Tamandua tetradactyla: one gene and its partner. The protein of the gene in region 1 binds, or shares a complex with, the protein of each later gene. Links are inferred from orthologs where the notes say so. Each region holds a gene or a part of one and is shown on either strand. Other genes may lie near its edges.

Region 1 (6,978 bases):
AATCAAATCAGAAATTCTATTAATTATGGATGACAATGGTAAATCTGTATGCTTTTTAATAAACTGAGCCAGCACTTTGCATCAGCACCTCCCAAGTTCTTTCCTATTTCTCCCAGTCATATATCCTCAGACTTTTCTGGCACCACAATCCTTTCTCCCCAGATCAACTTTTCTAAATTCCTTTCCCCATCCTAAACCTTTTTAGCTTTAAAGTTTTCTACATTTATTCTATTTCGTATTTTTATTCTTCCCTTCTCATTTCTATCTTCTGTCTATCATATTTAATCTGAATATCCTATCTTCCTTTATCAAAAATTTAAAGTATGGCTCATAGTGTTGGATACAGTTTTCACATTGTCTAGTAAAGTTCAAATTTTACTTAAAAATAGTGGAAAATACCATTCATATTTTATCACATAATAATATGCAATACAAGCCTAAACACCTTATAATTCCTTGATTATAAGCCTTACACCAAATTTTAAGTTATGAAGAATTATTTGGCCACACTTGCTCAAGCTATCTTGATAGATAGACCTTCTATCTAAAGGTCTTGACCTTAAAGTCAACTTCTGCTTACCTAATCACTCAGTTTTTCTAGAAAGAACAAGTCATGTTGCCAAAACTAAAAAAAAAAAAAAAATTAATTCCAGAAGCCAAATTCTAGGCATAAAGAAAGCAGTTTTAAATATCAACTAAATTTTACTATTTCCAGTGTGCTTCAAGAACTTCCCCAATAGCCCAACCCTGAATAAGACTGTCATCACCGTGGGTTCAGTAACTGCTGCTATTTCATACAGCACTACGTAACAGCCAATTGTTTAAGACTATATTTTTATATATTAACATTTAGTTCTCACAACCAGAAATTAGAAAGGGTTAAGGATAGCCATAACACATCTCCATTCAAGACCCAGCTCCAGCATTAGTAAGGAGATGTCAACAAGATGAAAATTCAGAATTTTCAGCTGTGAAACCAGAATGTCAGCCCAATCACATACATACTATCCCCATCATACTGTGAGCTTCTCCTAAAGAAGGTCATCTTACTTCCTCACCACTTTACACCCAGCACCATGCAGTGTCTGGGAGAAAACAGGCATTCATGTAACATCTACCAAAAGAAATTATATGGGCAGTGGGGGATATGGGGGGCGCCTTGTTTTCAAATTAATAAATCATTACTCATCCAGGTGAACTGAGCTCATAGCAAGATGACAGTTTCTGAATGCTCTATATAGGAGAGGGAAAGTGCTGTAAATCTATCAACTCATAACCTTAATGCAGCAAAGATTAAAATATTTTAATCTTTTAAAAATTACACAACCATCTTTCCAAGCTAAAGTGTTAAAAATTCTACCATGGCTTGAAACAAATTGACTCATTCCTCAAAGAAAATGAAGGGAAACACGTGGGTCCCAGTTCTCATTATTTACTGAATACAATCCAGGGCTGTGCTTTAACATTTTTAAAAGAACATTTGTGCCTTTTCCATTATGATAATTTTTAAAAAGTGATATGAAATTTAAATGCTACATACATGTAACAGGTGCAGAGTCAATACATAATTATCGGCTAATTACAGCTACTGTTATAAACATTTCAGCTTTATTATCTTAATTTCCAAACCAGCACACACTTTCGCAAACAAAATAGCAATCATAGCCATCTTTTCAATTTCAAATTGTTTTTGGTTTTAAGGGGTGAAAGTTCATTTATTTGAATAAAAAACAATGAACACCAACATCAGTAAATCCCTTTACTTTTTAAACAGTAACCAGTATAAACTGAACACACTCTTCCATTAGGGTTAGAATCACACTGCCTTAAAAACAAAGGCTCAGAATGACGAAAATAAAAAAGCATACGATCAATTTCTTGAGCAAGACACACCCCAAATGCAAACTATCTGCCACAGCAAGATTGCTTTTGAGTGACCTTGAAACATAATGGCTTTAAGTGCTTAAACAGAAAAAGGTGTTGAAGTAAAACACAGCCCACAGTGGGTGGCTCTCTGCCAGGTCCCTATATCTTGCCTGGTCCCCTCCACTGTCTGAAAACCCCACCTCAACAGCATCGACCCTCCCAAGCTGGGCCTACTGTGTGCCTCGATGCGGTCGCTGAGGCAGAGAAGCCATGAGCAGCCGAATGAAATGAATGAAACGAAATGCGATGTATTAATAAGCTGAAATACTATACAGCAGTTAGGAAAAAAACAGACCTACGCATTATAGCTAGATCTCGAAAGCTTACCGTTGGAGAAAAGCAAAAATTGCAAAAACGATGCAACAGAGTAATGCTCATATCAAACACCCAAAACAATATAATTCACGTGCTGTGAAAACATAAGCATTGCACCGGAAGGATAAATATACCAGTTGGATATCCCTCGGGAGGAAGAGTTAAAAGCAAAGTTCGATTTTACCTATAATGTTTTATTTACCTTACCGAAGCAAAAAAAACATATAACTGAATAGAAAGGGATGAGAACGAGCCTTCTTTTTGGAAAAGCACTCTCAAATAGAGCAAGAAGGGTAGGCCTGTAGGAGCGAAGAAGGCGCGCACTCGCGAGCAGCAGTGGGGGTGGGAAGGCGTGGAGCCAGCCGACCCGCCGGGGGCGCGCCGGAAGGACACAACTGGAGTCTTTAGGGACACTCACAAAGAGGGGGATACCCGCGAAGACCGTGCGTAAAGACCAGGCCGCACTTACAGGTTGATGGTGCGCTCCAGCGTGAGGGGCTTGGTCTGCTGGATGTACTTGTTGCCGAACTGGTTGACCCCCCGGGGCCAGCCGGTCTGCGAGCGATTGGGCGGCACCACCGACATGCTGGCGAGGACGGACACTGCCTGAGAGCAGAAAGGGGGAGGAAGGGAAGACTTTCCCCGTGCAGGTAGCGATTATCTGGGTCCCCTCAGCAGCCGCCACCCGCCATTAACGTGAGAGCGCAAGAGAAGGCTTAAGCACACCGGAAGTACATCCGGAGCCTCTGGTGGCGGGAAGTAGAGAGCCCAGGCAGAGCGCCATTGGGCCAATCGCTGACGTGACGGCCGCAATATCTGGCGCTCCCATTGGCATAGCAAGAATAGGTCCCGCCTCCTTCTACGGATGGCGCTTGGGAACACGGGAAAGAGGGCGTTCTGGGATTTGTAGTCTCCGTAGGGAAGAGTCGCCTGCTGTGTGTAGAGTAGGTGTACCCACCGTGTGGAGATGAGTGGAAAACGGCCCGCGGAACTCGGCCCTGGGCGGGCGGGGAAAAAGGGAAAGAAAGAGGTGGTGGCAGAGTTTTCGGACGCCGTCATGGAGGAAGCCTTGAAGAGGCAGGTGGCTGAGGCCTGGAGCCGCAGGGCACCTTTAGTTCACGGTAATCGGGTGCTGTGAGGGAGGAGCCGCAGCGAAAGGGCCTGGAGCCGCTGAAAAGTCCAGGAACTCGAGCCGAGTCTGGGCAGCGCGGCCTCAAGGGAAGAGGCTGTTAGGGGGAGGATGACTATGGCCACCTTCTATTCTTCTGCCTCGCCTGCAGCCCCCTTTTATTCCAAAGATCGGTTTGACTTTAGACACTTCAGAAGAGAAGAAAGAAACGTAGGCCGAAAAGTAGAAGGCATGCAAATTCGTAGTTGAATTCTGGTATGAGAGTTTCCAGAGTTAAAATCCTCCCCACTGATGGCACGTAGTTGGGTAATTTATTTAACTTTTAATGCTGTTTATCTCGGAAAGTTGTCGAATGGGGTTGATGAACTACTAAATGCATGCATTTATCAATAAGTATTTCCATGATTAAGGACCAGTAAATTTTTGAATAAGTGTTTGAGAGGCGTATATATTTCCTCCAGGGTAAGCTCGTCCCATGATAATTTAACCAGGGCATTTGTTGTGAGTTGCCTGAGAGCTGGATCTGAGTTTACTCGCTTTTCCATGCCTATAGTGTGACGATATGATCTATGAGAATAAACGTGTGTTGATCAAGGGAAGGAACTACACTGAACAATACCTGCCTCAGTTCAAATGTCACGTTATAGAACAAAAAGTTCTGCTTAATGCCTCATCCTTCCCTTCTGTAGTCTGCCGTGATTTTTGTTTTAGTTGTAAAGTGCTTTAAAGTGAGTCCCGGGTGCTCTGGATGCACGTAAAATGGGATAGCTGAGTATTTAACGTGCAAGCTCTGCACACTCAGTGACATCTCTGTCTCCTGTACTTCTAGGGGCTGAGGGGTGTGGGGTTGTGTGGTCCGGGAACAAGATGGAAAAGAAATTGCCAGCCAACATTGCTACTATCATTTTTTATTTACTATTCTCACTTAAGTTTTGGGGGGAAATGAATTATGAATTTTATCTAAAATACATTCAATTCAATGGACAATCATTGAGCAAAATATTTTAAAAAGAGCAGGACCTTAGTTTTAGTGACAACACATATAATCATTAAGGAGCAATATTTTAAGCCCAGAATCTTTAAAAAGTATCATTGACTAGATAAAGAAAAAAAAGGAAAGAGCTTATAATTTCTTCCCACAAATCTTAGATTTTAGATACTAGGTTCCCCAAAAGTCATGACCATCACTTTTTTATTCTCTCTGCGATGCTTCTAGAGGCAAAAATACAAAAGGACAAAAAGCCATAGATATGTTTTCGTTCAACAGAAGCCATTGTAATGGACAAGGACCCCTTTCTTCACTGCGTGATCCCAAACTTCATCCAAAGCCAAGACTTCTTGGAAGGGCTTCAGAAGGAACTTTTGAACTTGGACTTCCATGAAAAGTATAATGATTTATATAAGTTCCAGCAGGTATTTATGCCCAGTGCATTAGCTTTCCCACCTAAGAAATTCATTATCTATAAAATCATCCTATATCTTTAGACTAGGGATTTTAGATTGGGTTTGCCTTTGAGGGTCCTCACCTTAACATTGCCAAAAACATTCCTCCATTTAATATAAACGTACTGAGTGTATAACTGTGTGATGTGCAGTTTGATAGTTCCTGCCTTGTAAGGTTAAAACTAAAATAATAGAGGTAATAGAAACAGAGATAGTCAAGAAATACATTAATCCAATAATTAAGTACATTATAAATGAAGGGGTTAAATAGCACTTGCTAGTGGTTCAGTGGTAGAATGCTTGCCTGCCATGTGGGAGACAGGGTTCGATTCCCAGCCTATATACTCCTACCCTACCAAAAAAAAAGGAGAGGGGTGGGAAGTACTATTCATGACCCTGAATCCACATGGGTATGTGGTGAATCTCTGCTCTGCTGGGAATAAATTTTTCTGTACTTGCTTTTAGACTCCATCCTAAGACAGTAAACATAAAACCTGTTTCCTTAAACCTTGCTTGAACCTCTTTTTCTTTGCTTGAGTTATGGCATGATTTGGTAATTGGGTCTATGACATCTTCCATCCCCCCTCACCAAATTTGTCATTAGGAGTTGCCCAAATTCTATATTTTTAAAAACAAGTCTTACTAAGTACCATGCTAAATGCTTTGTATTTATTAATTCATTTAATCCTCATAACAGTCCTATAAACGATATACATTACTATCCCTGTTTTATAGATGAGGAAACTCATCTATAAAACATCAGTTTTTCTTTCTCTTCTGAATCATTCACTTTAACATACAAAAAAAAGCTGTTCTCGTTTTAAAGGGAAAAAAGCTTTTGACCTAACTTTCCTCTTCTGTTAATACCCTATATTCTTTTTGCTCCCCTTGACAGTAAAGCTTCTTATAAAAGTTGCCTGTATTGTCTCCTCTCATTCTCTATTAAGCCTGCTTTAGTCAGGCTTTCACTTCTGCCAATCCATTGAAACTCCACTTGTCAAGGCCATTCAGACCCTACACATTAGCCAATTATCAGTTTCAATCCTTGTCTTACTTGACCCATCAGCTCCATTTGAGCAACTTATCACTTCTATCTCCTGAAGACACTACTTGCAGGATGCTATGTTTGGCTTTCCTTCTGCCTCATTGCCCATTCCTTCAGTTTCCTTTTGTAGGTGTTCTTCTCATATCTGACTTCTTAATGATGCAGTACTATAAAACATAGCCCTTGGGCCACAGACTCCCATGGTGTCTCATGGCTTTGCCTCTCCTCTTTAATGTCTAATAAATATCTCACACTTAAATCCAAAACTCCTGATCTTCTCCTCCTAAATCTGCCCCACCTGCTGTTTTCCCCATTTCAGTTAATGGCCACTAATCTTCCCAGTTGCTCAAGCCAAAGCCAGAATCTTTGAGGTCATCCTTGATTCCTTTTTCACATCTCTTATCCCATCTTTTAGAAAATTCTGCTGGCTCTTCCTTCAAATTATGTCCAGAAAAAAACATTTCTTATCCGATGCCAACCTAAAACATGGCCGAAGCTATCTTGGTCCCTCACTAGGATTATTCTACTAGTGTATTAACCAGTCTCCTTGCTTCTATCCTTGCCTACTACAGAGCTACAGTTGTCATCTTGTTTTGAAATGAAAACAGGCCCACGAGAATTGAAAACATGTTCACACAAAAATTTGGACAAGAATATTCATAGAAGTATTATTCATAATAGCCAAAAAGTAGAAACAACCCAAATGTTCTTCAGTTGATAAATGAGTAAATAATATGGTATATTCATGCAATGTACTATTTCTCAGCCATCAAAAGGAATGAAGTACTGATGCATTCTCTACAACATGGATGAACTTTGAAAACTTTAGCTAAGAGAAAGAAGCCAAACACAAAAAGTTACAAATAATATGATACCATTTATATGAAACACACAAAATAGACGTATCTGTGGAGAAGAAAAGTAGGTTGGTGGTCATCTAGAGTTGGGGGAATAATGAAAATATTCTTCAAGTAAATAGTGGTAATAATTGCATACATTTTGAATATACTAAAAACCACTAAATTAAAATGGCAAACTTTATGTTATATGAATTTTATCTCAGTTAATATAAATGGATCACTTCATTTCTCTGCTCAGAAACTCCAATGGCTTCCCATTT
Region 2 (7,091 bases), on another chromosome or scaffold:
AAACTATCGAGATGGAAAACAAATCAGTGACTATGAGACTGGGTGTGATGAAAGGAATAACTACAAAGGGGTACAAGGGAACTTTTGAGGTGAAGGTATCATTTTATTCCTTGACTTTGTTGGTAGTTGTTCAACTATAAGCATTTGCCAGATAACTGTATAGTAAAAAAAGGTGAATATCAAGATGTAATGGCGAGGCTGGAGGGAACTGCCTGAAAATGTAGAGCTGTGTTCCAGTAGCCATGTTTCTTGATGATTGTATAATGATACAGCTTTCATAATGTGACTGCGTGATTATGAAAACCTTGTGTCTGATGCTCCTTTTATCTACCTTGTCAACAGATGAGTAGAACATAAATGGAATAAAAATAAGTAACAGGAGGAACAAATGTTAAATTTAGTTTGAAATGCTAGTGATCAATGAAAGGGAGGGGTAAGGGGTATGGTATATATGAATTTTTTTCTGTTCTCTTTTTATTTCTTTTTCTGTTGTCTTTTTATTTCTTTTTCTGAATTGATGCAAATATTCTAAGAAATGATCATGATGATGAATATGCAACTATGTGATGATGTGAATTACTGATTATATATGTAGAATGGAATGATCATATGTTAAGAATGTTTGTGTTTCTTTTTTGTCATTTTTAAAAAAAATTTAAAAATTAATAAAAAATTTTTTTAAAAAGGTGGCTACTACTGTATGTAAATTACACCTCAATAAACTTGACGATAAAATGTAATATAAATATATATGTAGAACGGAATGATCAAAAGTTAGAATGTTTATGTTTGTTTTTTGGTATTAAAAAAATAAAAATAAAAAAATAACATATTCATACAAAAAAAAAGTAATATAAATATATAAATTCCTGGGCTATCGGGAAGGGGTAATGGATGCTGTCAGTCCCAAAGAGTCAAATCTTTACATCATAACCAGAAAGGTTGTCTGCTATTAACTGATTCCCTTTCTGTGGTGCCTTGAAGAACATGCAATACCTCTTCTAGTATGAGGAGTACTGTTATGATTTTCTAGACACTCTTGACAAATGGAAGGAAAGTGATTTCTTCTCATACTTAGCCAACTGTGTCCAGAAAGACAAAGTTTCAACTGTGACCCGAGCCTGATCATACAGCACAACTAATATACTCGAATTTTATGACAGTCCTCCAGAAGCCCTACTTTTCAGGAAACTATTGCCTAGAAGAGTTAAAAACACCTAATGTGCTAGCTATCCTACCAACCAACACTTTCCATTTCTTTATAGCATTCAGGTTCCTTTGTATAGGGAAACAGCCCTTCCCAAAGCATATAGACCTGGTAAGAAGGTAAATCCACATGACTGTATTTGTGTTACCTAAGCTGCAAGGTCCCTGCAAGCATCTTTCTCTAGATCCTTCTGCTTACTGCAGTGGAAGGGCTAAGAGGAAAACATATGCCTTAAACTCAACCAAATGGACTTTCTCTTCAGGGAGTTTTATCTCGGGCTGAATCATCTCATCAACTAGACCTTCTCCACAATCTTTCTAAGGAAGCTAGGGGATTATGTGAAACAAAATCCTCTTCCTACATGATTCCATATTACAGTCTGCCAACGAGAAGCAGTCATGTGAGATTTGCAAGGTGAAAGAGGTCAGGCCAATGCTCTCTGGACAGAGGTATAGACAGATAAGTGGACTGACATGAGGTTAAAGCACCTTCTGGGTAGGTCTTTGAAACCCACTTATTTTGTTCCTGCAGTCAAAGTTCCAAAATACAGGCACTTGAGATTTACAGCAACTTCTGGACCAACTCTTAAGAACTACCCACTGTTGCTGCAGGCTGAGATGGTCAATAATTATTGGTAGACCATCACTCTTCCAGACTTCCAATTGTTGTAAAAGCCTGAATTACCACTTTTCATGCTTGGAACCTGTAAATTGGCTTCTGTTTCCTGATACAAATATGAGTGGAGACATAAAAACGTGAGACCGAAGGAGCATGGCAGAAACGAATGAGCTATTATATCCATCATCCCCTTTTTCCTTGATAAGAGAACCTTCAATTTAGCTAAGCACATGGCCCCAGAATACCATATTATTTTTCCTTTATGGCTGGTGTAGCTTATGGAAAATGAGTGGAAATACAATGTACAACTTTCTGAGAAGTATCTACAAAGAAGGGGATATGCTGTTCTTTACTCTTTTCTCTTGGCTGTAATATGGACATAACTGGCAGAGCTTTAGTAGCCATCTGGAATCGTGAGGTAAAGGACACATGCTGAGGATGGAAGAACAGCAACTCAAAAGAAACCTGGACCACAAGACTTTTGGAAGCCCCTCTATGAGTTTTGGACTTCTATTATGAGAAAGCAAAATATAATTCTTTCCATCCTGTTTAGGCCACTATTGGTTTTTACTCATAACCAAAACTAATCCTAAACATGCACAACTAGAATTCATTCCCAGCAAAGGCAGTGCTAGGGGGGAAACTACTGAGGAATTCTTGCTCTGCAGAAATAGAGTTATCTAGATCCAGTCCATACCCAGCCTAGTTTTTCCTTAGCCTTCCCTTTGATGCTGTGAGTTTTCCATATACCCTTTCACCAAATTACTTTTTTGCATAAGTTAGACAGAATGAGTTTCTGCAACTTGCAAACAAGGAACCCTTGAAACTTACAAACTTTGGGAAAATTTTAAGAGTGTCTGGGATGTGTGTCCACTGCCACGAAAAAAAAAAAAAAGCCTAGGATACAATTCTGGACTTGTATCACCCAAGTCATCCTACTTCCACTTTGTGCTGCTTGTCACGCCCAGTACCTGTGGCCCAGTAGTAAATATCCCAGTCATTACTGGGCTCATTAATCAGGCGATCATAGAGGTTCAGCTGTTTTTCTGTCATTTGGTGCAGATATTCTTTAGCAAAGAGGCTAAAATGAGAAAGAGAAAGGAGTTAAAAAAAAGCTGTCTCTGGTCAAAGAGAAATGACACCAAGACTCTAATTCCCCTACCTAAGGAGAATACAGTTTTCCAACATTCCCCTCTTTCTGCTTTCATAGAGTAGGCGGGCTCTTTTGGTTTCTATGGACTCATCAGTTCGCTCCTGCCACGGAGGCAAGGGAATTTCAATCATGTCTTTTTGAGAATCTGCTGGGCTGTCACCTCTGTAGAAGCGTCTGAATGATGTCACCCTGACCAAAGGAGACACTGGGCTGCGACCTGACAGAGCAAGCATCTGAAACAAATAAATCGTAAACATCTTTATAATAAAAACGACTACCATCACTGTCACTCACTCGATACTTACTAGGTGTTAAATGCTTTAGATGTCATTTAACAGCCAAGGAAACCAAGGCTCAAAAAGGTTAAATAACTTACTCAACTTCACCCAAACAGTAACGGAAATCTAGTCTTAACCGCAAGCATCTGTTCTTAACGGGTACCCTACAGGAGATTCTCCTAGCAGAAATATTGTCTCCTTTCTTTACATTCCCTTAAAATTACTACAATTAAGGTTTGTTTTCCAGTCTCTCGCCTGCGTTAAAAGGTGAGGATACAGAAATGACATTGTCCTAACCCCTCCCCCCTAAAGGCTCTCAATCTAGAGAGTAGCACAAAACCATCAAAACACGATCAGAAATCACAACAGATATCAGAGGCTTCAGAACAGGGAGGAATCACAAGAGGCGGTACGGCTTAATTTGCCCGGGAAGTAGGTGACACCTGCATTGGGTCCCGCACCACGACTGATCATGCAACGATATCACGGAACAGGCACAAAATGGGCTCACGAAAGGTTGGAAGCGACCCGAATCTCCTGAGCTGCAGGATCGGCCTGCCCTTGGCCTGCCCTTGCCCTCGGCTCTCCAGCAGCTGAGCCTTCCCGGCGGTCTCTATGACTGCAGCACAAGACGAGACTCAGCCAACGCTGCCTCCTGCCCGGGACCCTGGAACCTTACTATTCTCTCTCACCCGCGCCAGAGTCGGGAATACCGTGACCACTGCCATTTTCCCCGAACAGCACCAGAAGCCTTCAGCCCAGCTACTTCCGGGAATGCCCGGGTAGCAGGACCCGAGGACTTCAGCGCGAGGGTCTGAGCCGGAAGACGCGTCCCTGCGAATAGCGGAAGTGGCAATGCGTGTGACGCAGGCGGCGGTGAGGGCGGGGCCTGAGGCTGAGAGCGGTTCGCGCGCTTCGGGCCTAGTCCGGACTCGCCGCCGCCATATTCCCGGTAACGGGGGCGCGCGGCCACGGGCCGGCGGGGCCGGAAGAGGGGTCGGGGCCGGCGCTGAGGCGGGGAGGGGGTCGGTTGAGCCTGGGGCGTCAGCAGTTGGAGGGCGGAGGGAGGCGCGGGGCTTTAAGGGAGGTGGCCGAGGACGCCGGGCCCGGTCTGTGGGGAGGGAGCTGGGCGGGCCTAGCCTGGTGGGCGAGGACTCGGCCCGGATGGGGAAACGAGGCGGCTGGAGGCGGTGCGGATCCGGGCGGAGCTCCCGGTCCCGCAGGGGCTCTGGTCGGGGCCACCCCGGGGCTTAGGCAGGTTCGGCGGGCCGGGGCTGAGGGCTTCGTCGTAGTCGTCCTTCGCAGCGCAGCCGGAGGGCCCTTAGCAGCTGAGGCCTCGACTTTCCCGTCGCGCCATAGACGGCTGCGACGCAGTTCGAGCCAGGCCCGAGGGTGATGGGCAGCTCGCCCCGCGAGCCCGGTGGCCTGGGAGAGCGGGGCGGGGTGGGGGGGACGGGAGGGGGGCGGCGCGAGGCCGGGGGCGGGGCGGGAGGGGGGCGAGCCTTGGCTGCCGGGATGCTGCATCTCTAGAGACGGGAGGGTGGCAACCCTCGCCCTCCTTCCAGCTCAGGACCCTCTTTCTAACTCTTACTCTTTTCTGGATATCGCAGTGTCATCTTTTTTACTTCGTCGGTTCTCTGCACTCGAGATCTTCCTTCCGAAGCCATGTCTGAAGGGGTGGACTTGATTGATATATACGCTGACGAGGAGTTTAATCAGGTAAGGAGTTATCAGGAGCATCGTGGTATTCGTCCATCAGCTAAGGAATCACTTCCAGCAAACTTGGCAGTGGTTCCAAGCAGTGCCGGGCCTTAAGGACTTACTAAGCCTGGACACTCCCATCAAGTTTAAAGTTTTTCCTCTATCAGAGACCTCTAAAACTACCTAATACCCCGCTTTATGTTCATTTGAGCCTTTAGGCTTAATTTTAAAGAGTTTGATTTAAGAGCAAATAAAAACTCAGGTTTAATTGAATGGTGAATTAACTTGTGGAACTTGCTCCCTCAGGAATCCAAAGGTGGATGTGCTTCTCCTCAGTGACTAACCACACTTAAAAATCAGAATTGTATTTGGTGCACTGTTCATGAGGATGATTAAATAATTTTGATTTCTGTTCTTTTCCATTCTCTCACACTGCAACTGGAAAATGGTGTAGTCCCACCCCTTCGAAGGGCATAGTATAAAGCATTTCATTTCAGCTCTCCGTTGTTTTAGTAGAAAGGCATAGTATAGAGCATTTCATTTTAGCTCTTCAGTAAGTAGCTTGTCTCCTTTCTTGAGAAGTCCATAGCATTTTGGTGTAATAAATTTTATTGATGAACCTTACTGTGCCTAGGGGGAAAACGGGTGAAGGTGTTGAACTTACCAGTTGAAAAGCAGATATATACCCACTCATCTATCCAAGGGTGGGTTTGTTGGTTTCTTAACAAAGAAACCAAGGTTTCTTGGTTTGAATATTGAAAAATGTTAAATATAAGTATCTTTTCTCTTAAAGGGATACTTTTAAGTACATTTTGGTTATGAAATCTTGAGTTCAAATCTCAAGAATGTTTGTAAGTCTCTGCCTAAAGTTTACTAACACCTTGCTTGGTTTATTTTCAGCACTGGACTACTTGGGCAAACTGGTCTCTCTGTGGGCATCTTCCAGTTAGTTCACATGAGAACCTGAAAAGAAGATAATAGAATACTAGGGGGGTTAGTGCCCTGGTTGGGCGCTGACTTTGATATGAGGAAATAGGAAAGGTTGATAGGTGCCATTATTTTCACTAAGTTTGCATTTTGGGGGCGGGGTGGTGGTGGATGGATTGCTGCTTTTTTTATTATTAATAATTCCAATAATACAAACCCTATTCCAAGAATTCCAGCATACCCCCGCCCCTAGATCCTCCAATTTTAACATTTGGCCACCTTTGTCATGTCATTTTCTTTACCTATTTATGTATATTTTCTGAACATTTAAGAGCAGGTTGCATGTATCATAGTCCTTGAACATTTGGTACTTCCATGTACATTTTCTGAGGACGAGGGTGTTTGTTTATATAATCACCTTAAATGAATTTATCAAGTTCAAGAAATTTATCATTTATATCATGCTTGTATTCTATATTCCAATTCTTTTTTAAGTCCCATTAATGCCCTTTTGAGCATTTTCTCCATTTTTAGGTCCTATATAGTGTCATAATTGCATTTAAATGCCGTTACCTTTTTAGTTTTTTCATTCTTTATTTTTCTTAAATTGTGGGAACATATGTAAAACATAATCTTCCAATTCCAACCTCTTTGAAGCGTACCATTCCATGGGATTAATGATCTTCACAAAGGGCAGTACCTTCACCAACCATTACTATAACTTTGTCTTCACTACAAACACAAATCCTGCACTCATTTTACAGTATCTCCCCATTGCTTCTGTCTGACACCCCTGTTAATCTGTGTACTACTTTCTGTTTCTGTGAGTTTGCATATTCTCATACTTTCTTTGTAGTTATCAATGGGATTAAATTTAACGTCCTAAATCTGTAACAGTCTCTTTTGCGTTGATACCATCTTAACTTCAATAGCATACATAAACTATGTTCCCATACTCTTCTGTCCCCTTTTTGTAGGTCTTATCACAAACTACATTCTCATATATTATGAGTACCAAAGCTTTGATTTGTCATTACATTTTTTTTTTAACGTGGGCAGGCACCGGGAATCGAACCTGGGTCCTCGGGCATGGCAGGCAAGCACTCTTACCTGCTGAGCCACCGTGGCCCGCCCCATTTGTCATTACATTTTATGCATTTGCTTTTCAATCTTGTAGAAAGAAAAAAAGTGGATTTACAAAGATACA

The links. Proteins that work in one complex are often made in the same cells at the same time.
Region 2: the proteins of NUDT21 (region 1) and CPSF7 are in contact, whole or in part, in a crystal structure (PDB 3N9U), measured with the Homo sapiens proteins. The link is inferred for Tamandua tetradactyla from reciprocal best matches to the Homo sapiens genes NUDT21 and CPSF7. Residues at the interface, in NP_008937.1 of Homo sapiens: Arg68, Asn152, Glu154, Pro156, Tyr158, Tyr160, Pro162, Ala163, His164, Ile165, Thr166, Lys167; in NP_001129512.1 of Homo sapiens: Trp91, Trp92, Thr93, Thr94, Asp95, Gln96, Glu112, Lys114, Phe115, Glu117, Asn118, Arg119, Ala120, Asn121, Gly122, Gln123, Ser124.

What each region holds. Positions count from the first base shown.
Region 1 is NC_135342.1:50,146,595-50,153,572, forward strand, and holds the start of NUDT21 (cleavage and polyadenylation specificity factor subunit 5), read right to left. Parts: upstream 3,005-6,978; 5' UTR 2,827-3,004; coding exon 2,711-2,826; intron 1-2,710. Other genes in the region: prolyl 3-hydroxylase OGFOD1, read left to right, coding at 3,209-3,362, 4,638-4,783. UniProt on the Homo sapiens protein: Component of the cleavage factor Im (CFIm) complex that functions as an activator of the pre-mRNA 3'-end cleavage and polyadenylation processing required for the maturation of pre-mRNA into functional mRNAs.
Region 2 is NC_135335.1:13,709,740-13,716,830, forward strand, and holds the start of CPSF7 (cleavage and polyadenylation specificity factor subunit 7), read left to right. Parts: upstream 1-4,088; 5' UTR 4,089-4,208; exon of another isoform or gene 4,209-4,281; intron 4,282-4,409; exon of another isoform or gene 4,410-4,514; intron 4,515-4,866; 5' UTR 4,867-4,921; coding exon 4,922-4,975; intron 4,976-7,091. Other genes in the region: SDHAF2 (succinate dehydrogenase assembly factor 2, mitochondrial), read right to left, coding at 2,797-2,906, 2,988-3,211, 3,949-3,984.